Linked DNA regions of Elephas maximus indicus. The protein of the gene in region 1 interacts with the protein of each later gene in a biochemical or structural test. Links are inferred from orthologs where the notes say so. Each region holds a gene or a part of one and is shown in the gene's direction. Other genes may lie near its edges. The genes, in order: PLAU and SERPINA5.

Evidence for each region.
Region 2: the proteins of PLAU (region 1) and SERPINA5 form a complex in vitro, tested with the Homo sapiens proteins (2 studies listed by BioGRID). The link is inferred for Elephas maximus indicus from reciprocal best matches to the Homo sapiens genes PLAU and SERPINA5.

Annotation. Positions count from the first base shown.
Region 1 is NC_064834.1:13,708,840-13,712,752, reverse strand, and holds the start of PLAU (urokinase-type plasminogen activator), read left to right. Parts: upstream 1-1,351; 5' UTR 1,352-1,370; intron 1,371-3,913. UniProt on the Homo sapiens protein: Specifically cleaves the zymogen plasminogen to form the active enzyme plasmin.
Region 2 is NC_064828.1:108,117,865-108,121,777, forward strand, and holds the start of SERPINA5 (plasma serine protease inhibitor), read left to right. Parts: upstream 1-908; 5' UTR 909-977; intron 978-3,913. UniProt on the Homo sapiens protein: Heparin-dependent serine protease inhibitor acting in body fluids and secretions. Inactivates serine proteases by binding irreversibly to their serine activation site. Involved in the regulation of intravascular and extravascular proteolytic activities.

The DNA of each region.
Region 1 (3,913 bases):
AGCCCCAGAAAGAGCTGAGGCAGCTTCAGGCTGGAGTCTTGGCTCTCTTCTTCCCTTTTTCTGTCCAAAAGGAACTCCCTCCCTAGTTATTTGGATGTGACCAGAAACCCAGGCAAGGCCCTGGGGTAGGAGCTTGGCTCATCCAGAGTCTATGAAATGTATTTGGTCCCTGCATCCCCTCTTGGGTCACAGCCCTCAGGTAAAACCATGTGCCCAGTACCCATACTGCCCCTGAGCCAGGAAGTTCAAAGGAGAGTCATCTGTGCCTACAGGTCACACCCCCCCAATGCAGCCATTGTTGGGCTGCCTCTGGGAAGGGGGTCTTAACTAGGGCTTGGCTTGAGTTAAAAGAGCAGCATTCCCCAGGCAATCTGCCAGGGCCTTCTCACTGCCTGGGCGTGGGGCCCAGGACATGCCAGGGCAATGCCAGAGAGCTGACTCAGGGGGTGGTGGGTGGAGAGGAGGAGAGAGGAGGCTGCCTGGAGCCCCTGCGGTGGCCCTGCAGTGCCAGACCACCAACAGGCCCTGAAGCCCCACATTTCCTGGAGTGCCCATCAGAAGATCAGGGTTCTCCCTCATTTTCTCAGCCCCTTCCTCCTGCATAGACCTTTAGATGTGCAGTTATAGGCTCCCAAATCCTGTTCTGCAATTGACCAAACCCTGCCATTGTCATTTCTTAAGTCTCTGACCTTGAGAAAGTTACTTCTCCTTCTGCCCGCCCCCTAGGGCCACAGTAAGGATCAAATGACATAATGTCTGTGAAGGTACCTTATAAACTATAAAGCACGTTTGTAACAAGGTATCATTATTGTCATGATTATTCCTGAGACAGGAATTACAGCCGCTGGCCCCTAAACCTCAAAGTCCTTCTGTTTGCCTGTCTTGTCTGACAAGTCACTCAGAAGCCAGTACCGAAATCCTGACCCAGTCCTGAGCCTCAGAAACATTGGCACAGGCTCTCTGCCTGGTGCTATGGTACCAATTCAGGGCAGCAATGCCCCAACCCCACCCCTAGCTCTGTTAAACCAGTTCTTTCCCTTCTAATCAGACTCCTCCAGTCTAGTTTGCCTGCAGGGATGAAAAAAAAACCTAAAATAGCACAGGCTCTGCAAGTACCACTAGAGACTTGAGGGTGTAAGGTATTGCCTGTCAGCCACGGACCTGTCTGGGCTTCCCAGCCAGGTGCAGCCCTCTGCCCTCTAGGGCTGGCCTGTCTTCTTTATGCAGCACTGGATGACAGGGCCTCCTGTCAGTACTTCGGGCAGCTAAATTGGATGACTACCTAGAAAGCTGGCTTGGCTAGAGGTGCTCGCGGAGGCGGCTCACTGCTCCCCCACCAGCTCCTCACACCCACCCTCACCAGAGGCCAGGTAAGCTGAGCTAAGATCCTGAGGAACAGTAGCTGCTGTCATGGCCCTGGGGAAGGCTGCAGACTGGGTACCAGAAGGGTCTGCTTCTGAGACCCTGAAGCTAGCAGGTCCTGGCTTGTCACTCTGGCTGCAGAACCAGTTTGGTGTGTGGGCTGATGGGGTGCCTCCCTGGCTGCTGGGCGTGGCTCTGCACTGAGACTTCCCACAGGCCTGCGTGTGACTTACCCTGATGGGAGCGGTGGCTGTCAAGGCCCATTCGGACAAGGAGGCTTGTAGCAGGGAGCCAAGGGTATGAACTACTGTTCTAACAGCCGCGTTCATCATTGCTGTTGTTGTCATTAGTCGCCCTTGAGTCGACTCTGACTCATGGTGACCCCATGTGTTACAAAGTAGAACTTCTCCATGGGGTATTCTTGCCTGTAATCTTTATAAAAATTTTTATTTATTTTGTTGTTGTTGTTGTTGAGAATATACACAGCAAAACACACCAATTAAACAGTTTCTACACGTGCAATTCAGTGACATTGGTTACATTCTTTGAGTTGTGCAATCATTCTCATCCTCTTTTTCTGAGTAGTCCCTTCCCCCATTAACATAAACTCACTGGCCCTGAAGGCTCCTATTTAATTTTTTAAGTTGCTATCGTCAATTTGACCCCATATACATAGTTCTTAAAAGAGCATAATGCTTAAGGCAGAGTTTTTTTTACAAGTTAAGCTCAACTATTTGGTTTTAAGAAGATTTCAGGGGATACTTTTGGTTTAAAGTTTAAAGATTAACTCAGGGTAATAGTTCCAGGGGTTTATCCAGCTTCTGTGGCTCCGGAAAGGAGAGAGCCCATGAGAATTTAAAATTCTGTTCTGCATTTTCTCCTATTGATCAGGATTCTTTTATAGAATCTTTGATCAAAATGCTCAGTAATGGTAGCCAGGTGCCATCCACATTTTCTGGTCTCTGGTTCATGGAGCAATTAGCCAGACATTCTATACCCTCCTCTTATTCCTTACTCTCCTTCTTCCTCTGTTGTTCCAGGAGAATAAATACCAATTGTTGTGCCTTGGATGGAAACTTGCAAACTTTTAAAACCCCAGGCACTACGCAACCAACTAGGAGGTAGAACAGAAGCACTGAGCAGGTTATTAGGCCAATTAACTGGGATTTCCCATGAAACCGTGACCTCAGACCTCCTGTCTTAGTTACTTAGTGCTGCTATAACAGGAATACAACAAGTGGATGACTTTAACAAGCTAGTTTATACTCTGACAGCTTAGGAGGCTAGAAGTCCAAATTTAGGGCACCAGCTCCAGGGGAAGGTTTTTTTCTCTCTGTTGGCTCTGGGGATAGGTTCTTGTCATCAATCTTCCATGGTCAAGTTGCTTCTCAGTGCAGGGACCCTGAGCCCAAAGGACAAGCTCCGCTCCTGGCTCTTCTTGGTTGGTAGTAATGAGGTCCTCCTCCTCTCTGCTTGATTTTCTTTTCTATATTTCAAAAGAGATTGACTCAAGGTACAACCTAATCCTGTAGATCAAGTCCTGCTTCATTGACTTAACTGCCTCTAATCCTGCCTCATTAACATCATAGAGGTTAGGATTTACAACACATAGGATAATCATATCAGATCACAAAATGGAAGACAATCACCCAACACTGGGAATCATGGCCTACTCAAGTCGACACATATTTTAGGGGGACACAATTCAATCCATAACATTCTGCCCTTTGGCCCCCTGAAATTCATGCCTTTGCCACATGTAAAACACACTCACCCCACCATATCATCCCAGAGGTCTTAAATCAACTCCAAGTCCAAAATCCCACCTTCTGCAAAATTCCTCTTCATCTGTGAAATCTAGAATACAAGTTATCTGCTTTCAAAGTAAAATGGTGGAACAGGCACAATGTAGACATTTTCCTTATAAATGGGAGACATTGGAGGGAAAGAAGGAATAACAGGCACCAAGCAAGTCCAAAACCCAGCAGAACACATTATGTTAGCTTTCAAGTCTTGAAAATAATCTTCTTTTCTCTGAGATCATTTAGGCAATGGCCCTGCCCTCCAGACTCTGGGTGTTAATGCCCTGAATTTGGACTTCTAGCATCCTAAACTGTGAGAGAATTAACTTCTGTTAGTTAAGCCATCCATTTGTGGTATTTCTGTTATAGCAGTACTAGATAAGTAAGACAGAATTTGGCACCAGGAGTGGGGTGCTCCTCTAACAGATACCTAAAATGTGGAAGTGGTTTTGGAATTCAGTAATAGGTAGAGGATGGAAGAGTTTTAAAGTGCTAATAGTAAAAGCCTGGATTGCCTGGAAGAGACTATTGGTGGAATTATGGACATCGAAGACAATTCTGGCGAGGGCTCAGAAGGAAGTAAGGAGAACTGTAACACCTGAGATGGCACAGATGGCAAGAAGCAGCAGAAGAGAAACAGGAGTGGCAGAACCAGGAGACCAGTGTAAGATGATGCAGGAGCCAACCCGTGGAGCAAGAAAGCTGATTGCCTTCAGACAAGAGGCTTCATTGTGAAGTGTGGTGCCTCT
Region 2 (3,913 bases), on another chromosome or scaffold:
ATGCCAGCAGGGTCACCCGTGGTGGACAGGTTTCAGAGGAGCTTCCAGACTGAGACAGACTAGGAAGAAAAGCCTGGCAATTTAGCTCTGATAATTAGTCAATAAAAACCCTATGGGTCATTACAGAACATTGTTCAACTCACTTGCTTTGGACACCTCACTGGAGGAGGACATCATGTGTGGTGAAGTGGAGTCAGAAATGGCAAGGACGACCTTGGATGAGATGGATTGCCTCAGTGCCACAATAAAACATGCCCGTGATCGTGCTAATGATGAAGGACTGGGAAACATTTCATTCCGTTGTTCACAAGGTAGCTATGACTCTTAGTCCACTTGATGGCAGGTAACAATAGATGTCAGAGAACTGGGCACTAAGGCCCCGCTCTGCCCCTAAATTGATGTACGGCTTTGGGAAGTCCCTTCACCTTTCTGAGCCACAATTCAGTGATTCGTGCAACGTGGGGACCAGACACAGTGGCCCCTCAACTCAACCATCCTGAGGCTCTCCTAATCCCTTTAAGGTCCACCAGCATCTGGCTGTTGAGGACCACGAGACAAGTCAGCACAGAAGGCCTGTGGAGTCTGGGGCTCAAGTCTCCCCTTTCTTGGATCTGTAGCAGATGGGCTGCAGAAACAAACGTGTTGAGTCTAATGAAAAGCGGGGTGTGCTGACAGTGGCCTTTCCTGACTCTGCCTCGTCTCTCCAGGGTGCCCATGCATATACAGGCAAACTGAGGCCGGTGTGGGGCTTGAAGGACAGTGAGTGGGTGGCCCTCATGCAGCTTTGTCCACAGCCCGCCTGCTGGCTAGAAGCCTTGCAGGACAGAGCAGGGCGCCTGGGGCGGGGCCCGGGAGGGGTGGAGTCCTGGCCGCTAAGGTCGTAGGCAAGTTCTGGCTCCAGTCCAGCCAGCTCTCTGCCCTTTGCTAAGCCCGACGGACGCCACCTCCACTGTCTCCACGCTCGGCCACTGGACAGAGTAAGTACAGACTCTGGAGTGCAGACAGGGGCCTCCTGGGGCTTCCAGGACGTGGGAGCAGAGACAAGGAATGGGCTCTGATTAAGGGACCTGGAGGGTGCTAGAGCTGCAGAGGCATCCCTGACAGATAGAGGGAGAGCGGGAAGGGCCCTCATGGCAACGTGAACTGAGCCAGGGAGGAGAGTCTCCCCTAGCTGTGTGACCTTGGGCATGGCACTAATGTGGCCAAGCCTCAGTTTCCTCATCAGTAAGGTGGAAATAGTTAACCCTCTGCATACGCCTGGCCTGATATGAAGATTAAGTAAGGCAGTGGTTCTCAGCTAGGAGTGATTTTACCCACCCCCTCACCCCAGGCACATTTAACAATGTCTGCAACATTTTTGGTTGTCATAACTAGATGGGGGCGGAGGGGGGGCTACTGGCATCCAGTGGACAGAGGCCAAGAACGTCGCTAACATCCTACAATGCACATGGCAGCCTCCTCCATGACAGAGGGATCCAGCCCCAGGTGTGGACAGTGTGAGGTTGAGAAACCCTGAAATGAGGACGAGGAGGAGGGGACAAAATGCCGGGCTAGCAGGAGGTGCTCAGTAACCTTGGCTTGCATTGTTTTCTATGCCAAGGGTCTTGACCCATAAAATCAGGAAACATTCTAAAATGCAATCCACTTCCCTGAGATAAGGCCTCCCCTCAGGGTCACAGCAGCTGCCCGCCAACTCCAGACACCATTTGGCAGTTTGTTAAATAAACACAAGGTAGACAGAAATCAGCAGTTTTCAGTTTTTAACGGATGGGACCTTTGGCAAGAAATGCAACAATAAAAGGAGAAACTGCTCCCCTGAGTCAGGAAACAGGCTGAGCTAGGGGAGGGAGTAACTCAAGGTCAAGTTAACCCCGGGGCTGGTGGTGTGAGCAAGGGTCTGGATGCCCAGCCTGGCTCTAGGTCCACTAGTCAGCACCCAGCCTGCGGCCCGACACCGAATTACAAAGGATGGGCCAGGGGTGGTTCATTCCTTCACTCATTCATCCCACAAAGGTGCATGGAGCATCTCCCCGTGACTGGGGGCAGAGCAGATGGGGGGCTCCCTGCTGTGAGCACTTATTCTAGTGGAGAGAGAAGCAGAACAAAAGAAATTGAGCCCAGACGCATGCATAATTGATGGGAAAGGAGCCCTGGTGGCCCAACAGTTAAGTGCTCAGCTGCTAAATGAAAGATTTTGAACCCACCCAGCAGCTCCACAGGAGAAAAGACCTGGCAATCTGCTTCCATAAAGATTACAGCCTAGGAAACCCTATGGGGCAGTTCTACTCTGTCCTACAGGACCACTATGAGTCGGAATCGACTTGATGGCGCACAACAATTGATGGGGCTCTTGAGAGAAACAACCAAGGGGCCTGGGCCCAGCTTCCAGAGGGACCACGAAGAAGGGGCCTTGAAGCTGAGGCCTGATGCTCTGACGAGAAAGGTGGGGGAGGTGGGGGCAGGTTTCCAGGGGAGACAGTAGGACATGAAGGGCCCGGAGCGCTGGAGAGGGCATTGGGTTTGGGGAAATGAGAGAAGAAGTGGGCCTAGAGGAAGTGAAAGTGGGAGAATCCATCAGGGGGAGGCCAGAGAGCAGGGCAAAGGGGACCCTGAAGGGCCTTTGGGTTGGCACACAAACCAAACTCAGATTTCCCCCAAAGATCCAAGGGAGTGCTCTGACAACAAGGTTTCTGACTGAGGAAGCTGGTTTGTGGGGGCAGGAAGGAAGGCTTTGCAGGGTCCAGGCGAAGGACGAAGGGGCTTTCACTGAGATGGAGTGCCCCCAGTAGGTTTAAAACATATCTTGGAGATTGAAATCGACAAGACGTGCAGATGGATAGGAGGTAGAGGGGGAAGTTAAGAAAGCTTCTACGGTCACTTCTCCCGTGAAGCTCTGTCCCCCCCGTCTTTGAAATCCAGGGAAAGGTGCAATTTGGCCTCTCCCTGTTTGGATTTGACAGGTACGGAACAGACCCTCCTCAGCTGCATGCCTCCCACAGAGTCCTAAGTCAGCCTGTCTGGGGTTTGGTTGCCTAACATTAGGAGTATCAGCCAACGGGTTTGGGGTGCGTGGCTGTGTGGACTCAGCAGGAGGACTGACTCCCCACACCAGCCCCCACTTCCCCTGTCCCCGGCTCCTTCTTCCTCAGGCCCCTTGGCTTCAGACTGACTGATGGCTGGTTTGCTTTGACCAGCTCTCATCCCTCTGACACCTTGGGGCATTTCTGCAGAAACTGTATCTAACTTTGGGGACCTAAGATCGGGAGGTTCTGCAGGGACCCCGTGGGGGACAATGTCCTAGTCCCAGGCTCCCACCCCTGGCTCAGGAAGTGATGACTAAGAAACTAACAAGCTTGAAACAGGAGCCCCGGGGACCCCACTTCCTGGCTGAGCCCCATCTCTGCTCCCCGTTTCATCTTGGCACAGTTGTGATCACGGTACCAGCTTCCAGTTGCTGTGGACGAAAGTACACAAGCTAATGCAGGTGAACAGCTCTGGAGAGGCCTGGGGGGCAGGCACCAGGAGCGGGTGGGAGGAGGAATGAGGTGCCACCCCTCAGAGCCAAGAGGAGTGTGGGCACCAGAGACAGAGGGGTCTGGATTTTAATCTGGGGTGCATCACTCAATGGCTGGGACAAGCTGTTCTATTTCTCTGAGCCTCAGTGTATTCATCTGTAAATTGGGCTTAGTCACGCCTACTTTGCGTGCATATTGAATGGTCATAGATACAGAGTGTCTAGTAAGTACGCAATAATCAAACCAAACCAGCTGCTGCTGAGTTCATGCGCGCTCACGGTGACACCGTGTGTGTCAGAGCAGAACTGCATTCCAGAGGGTGTTGAAGGCTTTCAGAAGCAGATCAGCAGGGCTTTCTTCCAAGGGGCGTCTCTGTGGGTTTCAAAAGGTGACCTTTT